2 linked regions of the Caenorhabditis elegans genome follow. The protein of the gene in region 1 interacts with the protein of each later gene in a pairwise test. Each region holds a gene or a part of one and is shown in the gene's direction. Other genes may lie near its edges.

Region 1 (6,727 bases):
AATCAGGCTAAAAGCGACTTATTGGCAACGGTTAGATAGAGTTCTAAATTTGCAGTTTTTAAAGCAGAACTATTTTTTCAGCTGGAGTCTGCAGATCACGATGATTTTGTGTCGAGCATGAAAAATACATTTATTTACGGGAAATTCATAAAACGTTCGCCTTCGGAAAGCTACGTCCCCTCGGCGACCGTTTTTAAGACACTGACTTTCAGCACAATGCCGCCCCAAGTCAAATTGTAAGAACTACCAAATTTAGGTTTTTAACAATATTTTTCGTTTTAGCAAAAAATCGTCTCGACCGGTTCCACCTGGAAAAAGTCTTGGAGAAGTCGTCTCTAAAATGGCGGCAAGTCAGCCGCAGTACACTGTGCGATCTGCTCCGTACTCAAAGGGTCGAGCGGTAAGATTTTGATAAATGCATTAAGTTACTTGTCATGTCAGAAGGTACTACTACATATTGTATTATCACTATTAGACTTGCTCACCGATTGCTTCACGCTGACAGCTAATATCTCGATTTTCTTTAATTTTATCAAAACATTTTAACTGCGTAATTACGTAAAATAATTTTCAACATATTGACATTGTACTATTTTTGGTACAATTTAAGACAACCGAGATATAAGCTAGCAGGTCTAATAGGACAAGTTTCAGTAGTTACCAAGATTTAAAATACTTCCAAATTCGGATTGTCCAGCATATTTTGTGTGTTTTTTCTTTAGAATACAATAATTACTAATGGGGCTAATCAAGTAATGTCGCGAAATGTAACAAAATGTATTGAAATATACATATGTCCACATTTGTTTTATAAAAAAAAATTTAAAGGGGCGATAATACAATTTACTGTAAAAACTAATAAATAAATCAGATCATCAAAATCCCGACTTCAATTCGTAACCGCAACTACACACTTCCACCTGCAGGCCCACTTCCGCTGCGTCGCACTTTGATTACTACCAACTACACCATGTATCCAGTCAGAAACGCTGTTCAGTGATAATCTCATTTTGAAACTTACCCCCGATTTAATATAGCTACATGTCATTAATCATTTTCTTTTGTCTCACTTAAGTTTTCTGTTACTTTTTTTCTACTTTTAACTTATGCCTCAAGTCACTTCCAAATCAAAACCACGACCTTTTCAAACTCTCTGTTGTTTTTTTTCTGATCCGTGTAATATTATTTATTGTTTCTTTCTTTTTTACTTTTGCAGATTCTCCTAATTGAAAACTTTCAATTGTCATTTTTTTACGGTCCGTTTTAGGAATCGTGTTCTATTTAAATAATTGCCAAAAATAAATCTTTTCAGGTCAATCAATTCGTTTCAATTCTATTACTATATCTTTTGCAAGTGTAAAAATAAAACCAAATAAAATTATTTTTGCTTCCCTGCATTGCAATATAAATAGTGGTGTTCATCGAGAAACGCGCACGCTAACCGGCCACTGGCGTGTTTTTCGTGTACTAGTCACCACAGAAAACTGCAGAGACGCAGAATAACTCCGTATGTTTTTACTGGGCATAACTGTTTCCAATTCCCTGATTTTATTGTTTTCTTTTTTAATGCTTGGTTTAAGTTTAAAATTTTTATTATTCTACTTAATCAATGTGATTATATAAATTTTCAATTTCAGATTTGAATGTCTGCAATCAGGAAGATAATCCAGCGGCAACTTTTCCAGAAAGACGATGAAAGAATTCAAGCAATAGTCAATGTCTCAAAGTTGGATGGAAAAAAGAAGAAAAACCAGACACTACTATGTTTAGCAGGTAAGAATTCTTGGAATTGTCCTGTATAAAAATCGATAACTTGCAGTCACAATCGAGCACCCCATCGCCGTCCGTTTATACTTTGTGAAAGGGGAGAAAGATGATACATTCAAAAAGAAGGACAGGTTCAATTTGAGAGAAGTCAGAGAAATCGACGGAATAAATCCGAAAAAAGTGAGTATTTGAAAATTATATGGATTCACGCAATTTATACGATATATGTAGTGAGCAAATGTGAGCGTAACGAAGAACATAACGCAAAAAATGTGAAGCTTCTCGAATAACTGAGGATTTTCAAGTTTTACGAACACTAATGTTTGATGGAGTTTATCAACCTAAAATAGCTAAAAATTCGCCATTTTGCCGCAACTTTTCAACGATCTTTATCAATTGTAAAAATTGCAATTAGCTAAAGTTAGGTGAGAAGTTGTTGAAAGAATAGTTATTGTACACTAAATTTGTCGAAAAGATGATGCAAATTGCAGGAATTATTTTGACAAAATGGCTTATCAATTAGTTAAATTCGCATTTACTTCAAGTTTTTTTGGGTTTAAAAAAAATTGAGAATTTTATTCAACTGACAAACATTAAAAAAATTCAGGCATCACCAGAGTTCCACATCACTATCGGTGATCATCAATATGTGATTTTGGCTGGTTCCGCTGAGGAAAAGGACGAGTTCATTCGAGAACTCTACAAGGTATCCAACTATAATACTTTCAACTTTTTTACTGAAAATTTCGTATTTTAGTTGTCATGCCAATACCTTCCAGTCCAGATGCCAGATTTCTGCAATTTCTCTCTACCGCAACTTGAATCAGAAACCTCCATTATACCCATTGAGCTTCCTGAGCATGATATGGCGATGCAAAGTGATTATCAGCCAATATCCAACAAGGAGGACGCAGACTTTCGAAAGTTGATTGCGCGAGCTAATTTGACTATTGGTGAAGCACATATTTTTGCCGAAATGCTGACGGAGCAATTGCAATCTCTCGATGGAGCCAACATCAACTCTATGATGGACAGTGAGAATTCCGTAAACCAGTTGCTTTCGAGTATTGATGCAGCATTGACCGGTGTTGAGTCGGTCGAAAAAGAGCTTGATCGTTGTGATGACATTTTGGCGGTACTACATTGTAAAGGAATTTATTGAAATTTTAATCAACTATTTTCAGTTTGTGAGGAACAGTATCGAATTGATCGAAGAGAAAGATAGTTTATCGGTGGTTGAAAGAAAGAACAAGCAACGTCTCAACGAGGAAATCGTTTCATTTGTCAATTCGTTGCAGGCTGTTACTGATTCCCACATTGAGACTCTGAAACAAGCTAACTTCAGTAACCCAGAAAGGTAGAGTGAACAACTTAGAGTTTTCAAGTAATATTATGATACTTCAGTGTTCAAAGATGCACGGACGCTGCACGCGCTGTTGCACAATTCTGGCACGGGAGGATTTCTAAGCCAATGCTTCAAATGAAAGCCTATCAGGACAGAAATGATGAGCTTACCGCAGTGGATGTCTTTGTCGATAGGCTCATGTCTCACCTCTCTGCACTGTTCTCGAATTTGGTAAGTTTCAATGAACGTGTGCTTGCTTGCTCGAGGACCCCCTAAATTGTAGAAGTATTAGAGAATTCCGGAGGTCACGCTCTCGCTAAAGGACCCTCTGAATTTTTTGAAAATTTCAACCAAAATTCTCGAATTTCAGATATTTTACAGCGCATGCGAAGCTTTTTTTACATCACATACCATAATTTCACAATAGATTCACGTTAAAATGTGGAGTTTTTTCAATACATCTATTATAAATTTTAGAAGAATCCTGTAGCAAGCGCGCGCACTGTATAAAATCATTTTCAACGCGTGTTTTTTTTTCAGAACGACTTATCTTTGGATCATGAGTGGCATGAACTGTGTATTCCAAAACAGTCTCAACGCTTTCGCGCCCTTTCTCCACTCTCTGATCTTATCAACTGGCTGAAAACGAACCGTCCAAAGGCTTGCAATTTAGTCTTGCAAAAGTATATCGACAGCACGAATCTACTTTACAAACGTCTATTTGACAATTTCTTTGAGACACTGATCAACAAAGTTCCAAAAGCTAACAGTTCTGAAAAGAAGTCAAGTATGTTTGCTAATATTTGCAGCAAAAAATAATCATCTGATTTCAGAAGCAAATGAATCTGCAAACATTTCACTTCGTTCTGACAACCAGAGTTTCCTGAGCACCTCCAGTGAAATTGATACTGAAGTCTTACCGCAACTCATCGAAACGGTGCTGGCAGAACTGAGCGCTGTGATTGACGCAGAGCAAAAGTTCGTTGTCCGCTTCTTCCACATCAACTCGGAGCTGTTGGCTCAGTTCGATACGACTTCAACTGGAAGCGGTGATAGCTCAAGTCTCGGAGGACGTAGTATGGAGAAACATATGAACGAGCAAGTGAGACACGTTATGGGCAACTTGTTTGACTCGCTCAATATTCATCTTGATAGTTTCTGTCGGGCGGTTTGTAGGCACAATCCTAGGTGAGAAAAGGTACACGTACATATTATTTTAAATTCCTACACATTTTAGCAATGTTCTCCTTTTGTTTGTAATCATGTCGAAGAAAGTGCTTCTACCACAAGACCCAAGCTCCTATTTTTCGATCACATTTGGAAGTTTAGTTGTTCTGATAAAACGCCAGTTTGATGCATTTATTGTGAGTTCCATTTATATGTACTGTAATTGCAATAATCTTCTCTTCCAGCAAATGGAATGTTCCCAGTACTCGGAAGTTCGCATTGCTAAAAAGACTAGAATCGGAATTCTCCCATCAATTTTTCGCTTTGCAAACTTTGTGAGACGTGCTGAAATTATCTTTGAAAATGCCGAGAGAAGAACTGACTTGGAGAAGGCATATTTCAATCTTTGCCGGGCGGTTTGTGACGGGATACAAAAAGCTGCCGCCAATCAATACAGCAAGTCTCCGTCGTCTGTAGTCAAGTTTGAAAATTACCACGAGCTCTATTGTAAGTGTTCTAGGAAACAATAAAGTGTGATGGTGATAAATGTTTCAGTGACTTTGTCGGAGCTAAAAATCTCATGTTTGGATCAACAACGAAAAGATGCGAAAGCGCTCAAGGAAGAACATATTGATGCGTACGTAAAAGAGTTTATGGGTCGTCCACTCAAAGAGATTCAGGTGATATATAAATATGGAAATTTATGTTTCAATACTGTGCTGCCAATGCTTGAAAAAAAACTTGACTATTATGCTTTAAACTAGTTTTTTCTTTCTAATTTTGGCTTGTCATTCTACAACATTTGTAAAAAAAGGCACTCTACCATAGTTTAAAGTTGGAGTACCAAAATTTGAGGCTTTGCTATTTTAGACCCAACAATTCAGCGCATATACGCCCAATAAAAGACCAACAAATTTATTAAAGAGTGATCAATAAATAAAAATTAAGTTCCAGACGCTGCGACACCGAGAAGTTGTAAAAATTGTGATTTTAGCTGCAAAACCTTTTTTCCGACTTTGAACCTCCATAACTTTTTTTGAGGAATTTTCAAAACATCTCATTCGAATTTCGGTACTCCACCTTTAAACAAAAATCTCCCAAAACTATCGATATGTATTCCAAAAATTTCAGACGTTCTTCGACAATGTCAACAACTTTATCGAAACGCGTGGAATTCGTCCTGATGAAATCTCGTATCAACAACAATTCAGTCGCATTGAGCTTAAAAAGGTTGAATTTCTAGTTAATCATCAAAATCGCCATTTCATAAATTTTCCAGGTAATTTCACAACATCCGGGAAAAGAAGTGAAAAAAGGACTCGAGCAACTGTACAAGAAAATTGAGAAGAACCTGGTTGCCAATTCATCACTTTTGCAAGTTGTATGGAGAGATATGCAAGAGCAATTTGTCAAGCAAATTGCGGAATACAACAAACTGATTCTCACTTGTTACCCAGGCTCGAAGATTGAGCTCGAAGTTTCCACTGACACTGTACTTCAGTTCTTCTCAGAAATTGCTCAACAACACTAATATTACGACGAATAATTTTATTGAATTTTGTTGTTTTAATTCATTTAAAATTTAGTTTTAATTTATCAGAACTCTAATACTTACTGAACCATGCTTTGTAATATATTTATTTATCTATTCTGTAATAGGTGAACTTCGTTACATTACTGATGTCTGTAATATAAATTTACGGGTGTTCCCCATTCGAAAATAGTAGTAATGCTTGCTTTTTTGAAAAATAAATGTCTTGCTTGGTGACTTTTATTTCACGTATTTTCAAATGCTCACAAAAATTTCACGGAACTGACTTCTTGGTTACACATTTGTAGAAATTTTGACTGAATGTTTGCATTGAACTGGTCAACTTAAGAATCTGACATGCAAATGGTGTGTTTTCTGAAGAACACACTTTGGCAACTTTTAATAAAAAAGGGGTGTAACACGATTTAAATCTAATAAAAACAACTTCTATAATGTTATTCCGTTTATATCTCACTTTATGTTTTACATTTTACTCTTATATACATTTTTTGACTCATTTATACAGGGTGGTCCATAATTATGGACCACCCTGTACTTATATCTTATTTAAAACTATTTCATGTAAGAATTGTTTTAACAGCGCATTTTTTTTCATCACTCGATTTAAAGGTAAAATTGATAGGCCGCAATCTATTTTGGAAAACTTCAGAACAAAATTTAACATTTTAAGAGGTAACTGTGAAGGTTTATAAGAGAATTATAAACCGATCTAACCACTAAACATGGTAACGTAGAAAAAGTAAAATTAGGGGAGGGGGGATGTTTATTTATTCTTGGTTTTCAATTCTTATCAGACTCTGTAAAGTAAAATGAACATAACTTGTTCGAATAGTGTAGGAATTTCAAACAAGCTACAAATCTAGCTCCACATACGCGTGGAATAGCCGGTCATAAAT
Region 2 (6,347 bases), on another chromosome or scaffold:
TTCAGCAAAAACAAACCTGAGCTAGTTTTTTGGCTATCGATTCGGCAGCATTTTGATCACTTGCCATTGGAAATATTCGAGAATTGACAGAGAAAAATGGAAAACAATAAAAATAATAAACAACCAACATGTGACCTAGTTACTTCCTAGGCCACGCGGCCGCGTACTCCTCGAGGACAAAATGAGTTGCCACGCAATTTTTGGAATTTTTTAAATTAAATTCAGGTTCCAGGTTTCTATGGTTTCAAAGTTACTAAAATTGTTATAACCGATTTTATTATAACATGAATTTCTCGGTGTTATAGGTAAAATGAACCCCGCTGCTTTGTCGGCATTCACACGATCTCTACTATTCAATCGATGCTCAACATCTTCATTTTGTAATTCAATCACACGAAATGCCGTCGCTTTCTTTGCCACTGCAGCTGCTACGCCAAAAATCAATGTAAATGTGGGAACTATTGGACACATCGATCACGGGAAAACAACTCTAACATCAGCAATCACAAGAGTTCAGGCTAAAAAAGGTTTAATTAATTTTTATATTATTCACAAATGAATTCAATTCTGCAGGTTTTGCGAAGCATATTAAATTTGACGAAATCGATAAGGGAAAAGAAGAAAAGAAACGTGGAATTACAATCAATGTCGCTCATATCGGCTATGAAAGTCCTCTGCGTCGATATTCCCACACTGATTGCCCCGGTCACTCGGATTTCATCAAAAATATGATTTGCGGAACTTCACAAATGGACGTGGCTGTTCTTGTGATTGCTGCAACCGACGGAGTCATGGAGCAAACCAAAGAACATTTGATTCTAGCCAAGCAAGTTGGTGTTAAAAATATGGCGATTTTCATCAATAAAGCGGATTTGGTTGAAGAAGATGATCTGGATTTGGTAGAAATGGAAGCACGGGAATTGTTGAGTCTGCATGGCTTTAATGGAGATGCGACTCCAGTTATTCGAGGTTCCGCTTTAAGTGCTCTAGAAGGACAAGATATTTCGTGTATCGAGAGATTGATTGATGCATTGGATTCACTTCCAGAGCCGGATAGAAATGAAAAGGATACTTTTGTAATGCCAATTGCATCGAAAACTGCTATCACTGGGCGAGGTAATTGAAAAAAGAAATATAAGGTGTGCCAATCAAGAATTTATTTTGCAAGAAAAAGTGCAAGAAATTTCAATAAATGACATTTTTTGCCACCCCTAATATTTAAAAAAAAACCAATTTAAAATGTTTTTCAGGAACAGTCATCGTCGGTACACTGGAAAGAGGTGTCTTGAAAAAAGGCGATAAAGTTGAAATCAAAGGAGACGGGCAAACTCTTCAAACGACTGCTTCGGATATCCAAGTTTTTGGCAAAAGTGTGAAGGAAGTTCGTGCTGGAGATCATTGTGGAGTTCTGTGTAGAGGAGTTAAAGGGGATACAGTGAAGAGAGGAATGTGGGCAGGACATCCAGGAGCAGTAACAATTACGAATCGAGTGAAAGTGGAACTTTATCTTCTCTCGGAGGCTGAAAATGGCAGGAAGATCGGAATTCGGACTGGTTTCACAGACAAAATGTACTGCAGTACTTGGGATCAAGTTGGTCGTTTCGATATGAGCAATGAGCTTCTGATGCCAGGAGAACATACTTCTGCTACAGTACTCTTGATGAAAGACATGCCACTCAGAAAAGGAATGCCGTTTACATTGAGAGAAGGAAGCAGTAAAACAACGATCGCTAGAGGAATCATCTCAGATCTAGAGGATCATGTGGCTGTAGAGAAACATAATCTTAAAAAGTCCGCTGAAAAGATGTAGTTCTTTATATATTACAGTATTGATTTATTTTAGGTTAGATTTTATTAGCTTGTTAACTACTATATCTTGTTTTGTTTTTGTTTTCTTTTGTCGAAATCTTCGAATAATATTTCACTACTTTTATTGTTCAAATAATACCATTCTCCTATTAATAGCAGTTTTACCTGATCTGCTCATTAATATCTTTATTTTTAATTTTCGTATTAAATAATAATTTATTTTTTAATTCCAGTTTAAAATGTCGGGGAGAGTCGACGAACAGCTCGACGACTTCCTCTGGGGAAAAACTGATGTTAAGGATTACTTGAAAAAGTAAGTCGCCAAATTTTGTGGATTTGGGTCTCGACACGACAATTTTTGTTTAATGAAAAATGGTACGCGCCTTTAAAGAGTACTGTAGCGTCGATTCTTCATAGTTTTTTGCAAAAAGTATATTCATTTATTTATTTTTTAAAAACTAAAATAGAACAACATAAACTTTAACAAATCGTAAGAAAAACTATGAAAAATCGATAAAAACTTCGCAGCATCGAAAGTTTTAAATTACAGTATTCTTTAAAGGCGCACACTTTGTCGAAAGATGGAGTACCGCCAGTAGAGAAATTTTTAAAAAACATAACTGTAGTGTTACATTATATTAATAAAAAATCAAATCAAAAATGTTTGCAAAAGTTGTTATTTCAATTGACTTGAAATTTCAAGTAATAAAAACTTTTTTGGAAGTCGTCGATCAAAAAAATTATCTTCAAGTTTTTTTCTAAGTATATGTACAAATTTTCAGGGTAGCAGAATGTGACTCATCCGTAGCTGAATCATTGAATCGAAAAGTCGCTGGACTCCATGATACCCTCGACAAACAGCTTCGTAAAGGAGTCGAAACTAATCTTCCACGACTACTGGAGCAAGTGCCAGCTCTTCAATCACTTGAAGATACTCTACATTCAGTTCAAATGCGAATGACATCAGTGACCAAAGAATCAAATCGACTCGCCACGGTTTGTGATGATCTTACCACGAAGCTTCGCGAACAAACTCGCCAACTCGAAGCAACGATGCTCAAAAGAAACATGGCTTCAGATGCCCAAAGATGTGAAGAACTTTTTGAATCTCTTGAGAAACGAAGTGATTTGGTGAAGAAGGCGGAGATCACATCGGAGATTAAGGAGATACTCAATGATAATAAAAATTTGCGAAAAATTGGATGGTTGAAGAATATGGTGGATACCAAGTTGAAAGTGGCTGAAAATGAAGTTCGACGCAGTGGAGCGGAGGAGTTGAAACGAGGTTTAGCGTCATTGAATAGCTCGATGGTTGTATCTGCTCAAAGAGCTCTTCGAACTTTGAATTATTTGGATTCAGAACTTGAAGTTTTGCTGTCCTCCTCTGTTGTCGATCTGGATAAGAAATTAATGGAATTATCAAACAGCTCTCCAGAAGTTGCTAATAAAAGTCTCCCTGTAGTCGCTGCAACAATTCAATCACATCTCGAACAAGCGGCTATGCTGGGTGAAGTCTATAAGAAGAAATTCTCTGAAAAGTTGGCTCGACTGATTCGTAGCAGAGTTCCACTCGATACTCCATACGCTTTGCGGTTTGTACAGCAATTGGGTAGAGTATTCAATTCAAAGGGAGATAGTTCACCCGCTTTGAACGATTCTTTACGTCCACTCAAGAACTCTCTCCTGACTCATTCACTGGCTCGTTTGCACAAACTCGTTGAAGAAAATGACTTCTCTACAGCTCATGCCAATGCATTTGTCGATCTTATCAATTCTGCAATGGAAGAAGAACATCGAAAAGTCGACTGGGACGCGGAGTTGAGCCAGAAAATGAGCAATAATATTGAGAAATGCATTGAGATTATTGCAAAGAAATTGGAAGCCAATCTTCATTTACAAAGAGATGATTTACTCCTAGGTGAGCTGTGAAATTAATACTTTTTTTTGTTGATTTTTTTTATCAAAAACAAAAAAAAATTCCGAAAACCCGAGAAAACGATGACGATATTTTCGGCGATTCGATAAAACTTTCTGAAAAAGTCCTGTTTTTTTATTCGAAAATTTTTCCAAATTTATAAAACTTTCAAAACATTTTTTTTTGAGACTTCTCTAAATTTTCATTCTTCAAAAATTGAGTTTTTATTATGATATTCGAGCTTTTTTGAGTGTACAAAACAAATATTTATTTTCCATACTCCACATTTAAATGACCAAATAAAAAAACATTTTCAGGAGACCGATTGACTGCAAATCAAATGACAAACTATCGTCTCATTCAAACCGCTGATGGTATCACAAAACGTTGGCCAGCAGAATCGAAAAGTGTGACAGCGATTCAAAAAGAAACTCTTGATGCGATCGTCATAGAAGTCAAAAACTCGATTCGCGCGATTGTTGCAAGAATGCACGTTGAAACACGCGGAATGACAAAATCCGTGGCTCCGTACATGCAAGAATTGCTCACCTACATTAATCATATCGACATGCACATGGCTCACGTTTCACGAGCAGTTTGTCATTCTCACGTACTCTCACAAATTGCCGAATATGTCATTGACTCATTTATTCTAAATGCCACATTAGTCAGATCACATGCTTCTGATGAACGTCAACTCATTGTCATTGACTTTTCAAGGTAATAGGGTGCTTAAACTGAAAATGTTAAAAATTTTTCAAAAAAAATTTTTAAAAAACGTTTTCTTGCAAAAAATTACACTCGAAATAGAAAAAAAAACAATTTTGATCAAAACATGTAAATTTTTCTAAATAATTTTTCAAACCTCAAAAAATTTATTGTTTTTCTCATTTGTCGTCTTCTAAAAAATTTCCAAAAAAATATATGATTTTTAAAATATCGAAAATGTTTTTTTAGAAGAAAAAAACCTCTTTAGTCATTTTTATCATCAAAACCATTTTTTTTTGATAAATCTATAGTTTTATCGTATTTTCCTATTTTCTGTGGAAATAAAACCGAAAAATCGAACAATTTTATTAAGATATCCTAGAAAAAAAAATTTAAGAAAAAATTTTGAAATAGCAAAAAAAAAGAACAACAAAAAAACCTGATTTTCCCTGTGGTTAGCAATTTTTATATTATTTTAAATTTATTTTCCAAGTTGTCGGTTAGACATTTTAAATTTAAACTCAAAACGGCGCGCTGAATCACAAAAGTGTTAACTTTTTCTGTTTTTACATCGGTTATGATTCAGCGCTTTACATCTTTGCCGCCATTTTGTATTTAAATTTATTTATTTAACTTGTCTAACTGAAAACTTATCAAAAATGTTTAAGTTTTAACCGAATTCAGAGGATATCAAAACAAAAGAAATACGTTTTCAAACCTTTTATTAAATTATTCAATAATTTCGTCAGAAAAATTACTTTTTCAGATTACTCGAAGCCGTTCGTTCAATGGAATGGCCTTCCAAATATGGTGACACTACTCGACTTTTGGATCTTTTCGGAAGCGATGTTGATGTGATGCTCAGAGTTGAAGGTGTCAAAAAGTCGATTTTAATCCAGCTACTAGTATCCGATAGCCCTTCAGAACTTCCACTTCCTAATCAATCTGTAAAATGGACGGTTCGTAGTTTTCCACAATACTATGAATACTCTAAATATGAAATATTTATATGTTTCAATTTTCAGCCCGAAGAATATGTAAAGTGGTACGAAGAGCACACTGAGCTGGAAGTTCTCGCATTCCTCAACGGACTTGTGTCTTCGTACAATAGTTCTGTCATCTCACGTGGTCAACAACACTATGTCGATCATTATCCTCGTATTGTGAAGCTTCTTCAAAATGCTTTCTAACCTAAAGGACACTCGGAGAATTTAACAACGCATGGGTTTATGTATTTATGATTGTGATAATATTTATTTATTTGGGTGGAATAAAAGTGTATTCGTTTATTCCTACAATTTCCATTTGTTCAGTCTCCACGGTTCTCAGCCATTCTTCATATTTCTATTCTGAATTGTTATGTGTTTTTTTCCAATTTTTTCTTTCCAGAAATATATTGTAGAATTCAAAATGTCGCCCATCAAACGAGAACCAGAAGAAGCATGCCTGAAGCCAATGCGATTTGAACAAGAAATACCCGAAAGGGTAGATGAGCCGGAAGAGATGGAAGTTCAACCAGAAGAAATAGAGGAAGAAGTAGAAGAAGACGAAGGTGATGATGATGAATGGGAAGATGTAACGATGGTGGTCACTGTCAATGGAATTCTCGACGCGGATCTTGTTAGAGATGCCGTCGAGAGAGATTTGATCAAATTGCGGTACGCTGAAACGGATGCACCAGTTTTACAGGTAAAATGGAAATATACAAACTCAAAAGTAAAATTTTATGAATTTCAGATCAACAACTCACTATACACGGCATCCTGGGAGCAAGATCTCGGAACAAATATGGTTCTGCAGTCAAAAGGAAAAGAGATGGAAGTGATTTCGTGTACATCGACCATGATGACTGCAGAAAAAGCCCTGTTGACCTCGTTAAGCACCGAAGGATCTACACTAGCCGCCAATGCAGAGA

Evidence for each region.
Region 2: the proteins of sec-3 (region 1) and cogc-5 interact in a two-hybrid assay, tested with the Caenorhabditis elegans proteins (one large-scale study listed by BioGRID).

Annotation. Positions count from the first base shown.
Region 1 is NC_003284.9:3,094,754-3,101,480, reverse strand, and holds sec-3 (Exocyst complex component 1), read left to right. Parts: upstream 1-1,628; 5' UTR 1,629-1,643; coding exon 1,644-1,773; intron 1,774-1,819; coding exon 1,820-1,947; intron 1,948-2,374; coding exon 2,375-2,473; intron 2,474-2,524; coding exon 2,525-2,902; intron 2,903-2,951; coding exon 2,952-3,124; intron 3,125-3,171; coding exon 3,172-3,343; intron 3,344-3,417; exon of another isoform or gene 3,418-3,553; intron 3,554-3,652; coding exon 3,653-3,899; intron 3,900-3,945; coding exon 3,946-4,300; intron 4,301-4,349; coding exon 4,350-4,476; intron 4,477-4,524; coding exon 4,525-4,786; intron 4,787-4,834; coding exon 4,835-4,959; intron 4,960-5,410; coding exon 5,411-5,509; intron 5,510-5,558; coding exon 5,559-5,810; 3' UTR 5,811-6,053; downstream 6,054-6,727. Other genes in the region: ztf-13 (C2H2-type domain-containing protein), read left to right, coding at 1-30, 82-236, 283-400, 872-1,000.
Region 2 is NC_003279.8:4,247,451-4,253,797, forward strand, and holds cogc-5 (Conserved oligomeric Golgi complex subunit 5), read left to right. Parts: upstream 1-2,042; 5' UTR 2,043-2,048; coding exon 2,049-2,122; intron 2,123-2,591; coding exon 2,592-3,727; intron 3,728-4,041; coding exon 4,042-4,444; intron 4,445-5,198; coding exon 5,199-5,391; intron 5,392-5,457; coding exon 5,458-5,622; 3' UTR 5,623-5,720; downstream 5,721-6,347. Other genes in the region: exoc-7 (Exocyst complex component 7), read right to left, coding at 17-130; tufm-2 (protein-synthesizing GTPase), read left to right, coding at 311-527, 574-1,116, 1,251-1,810; C43E11.12 (Transcription factor TFIIIC triple barrel domain-containing protein), read left to right, coding at 5,792-6,121, 6,170-6,347.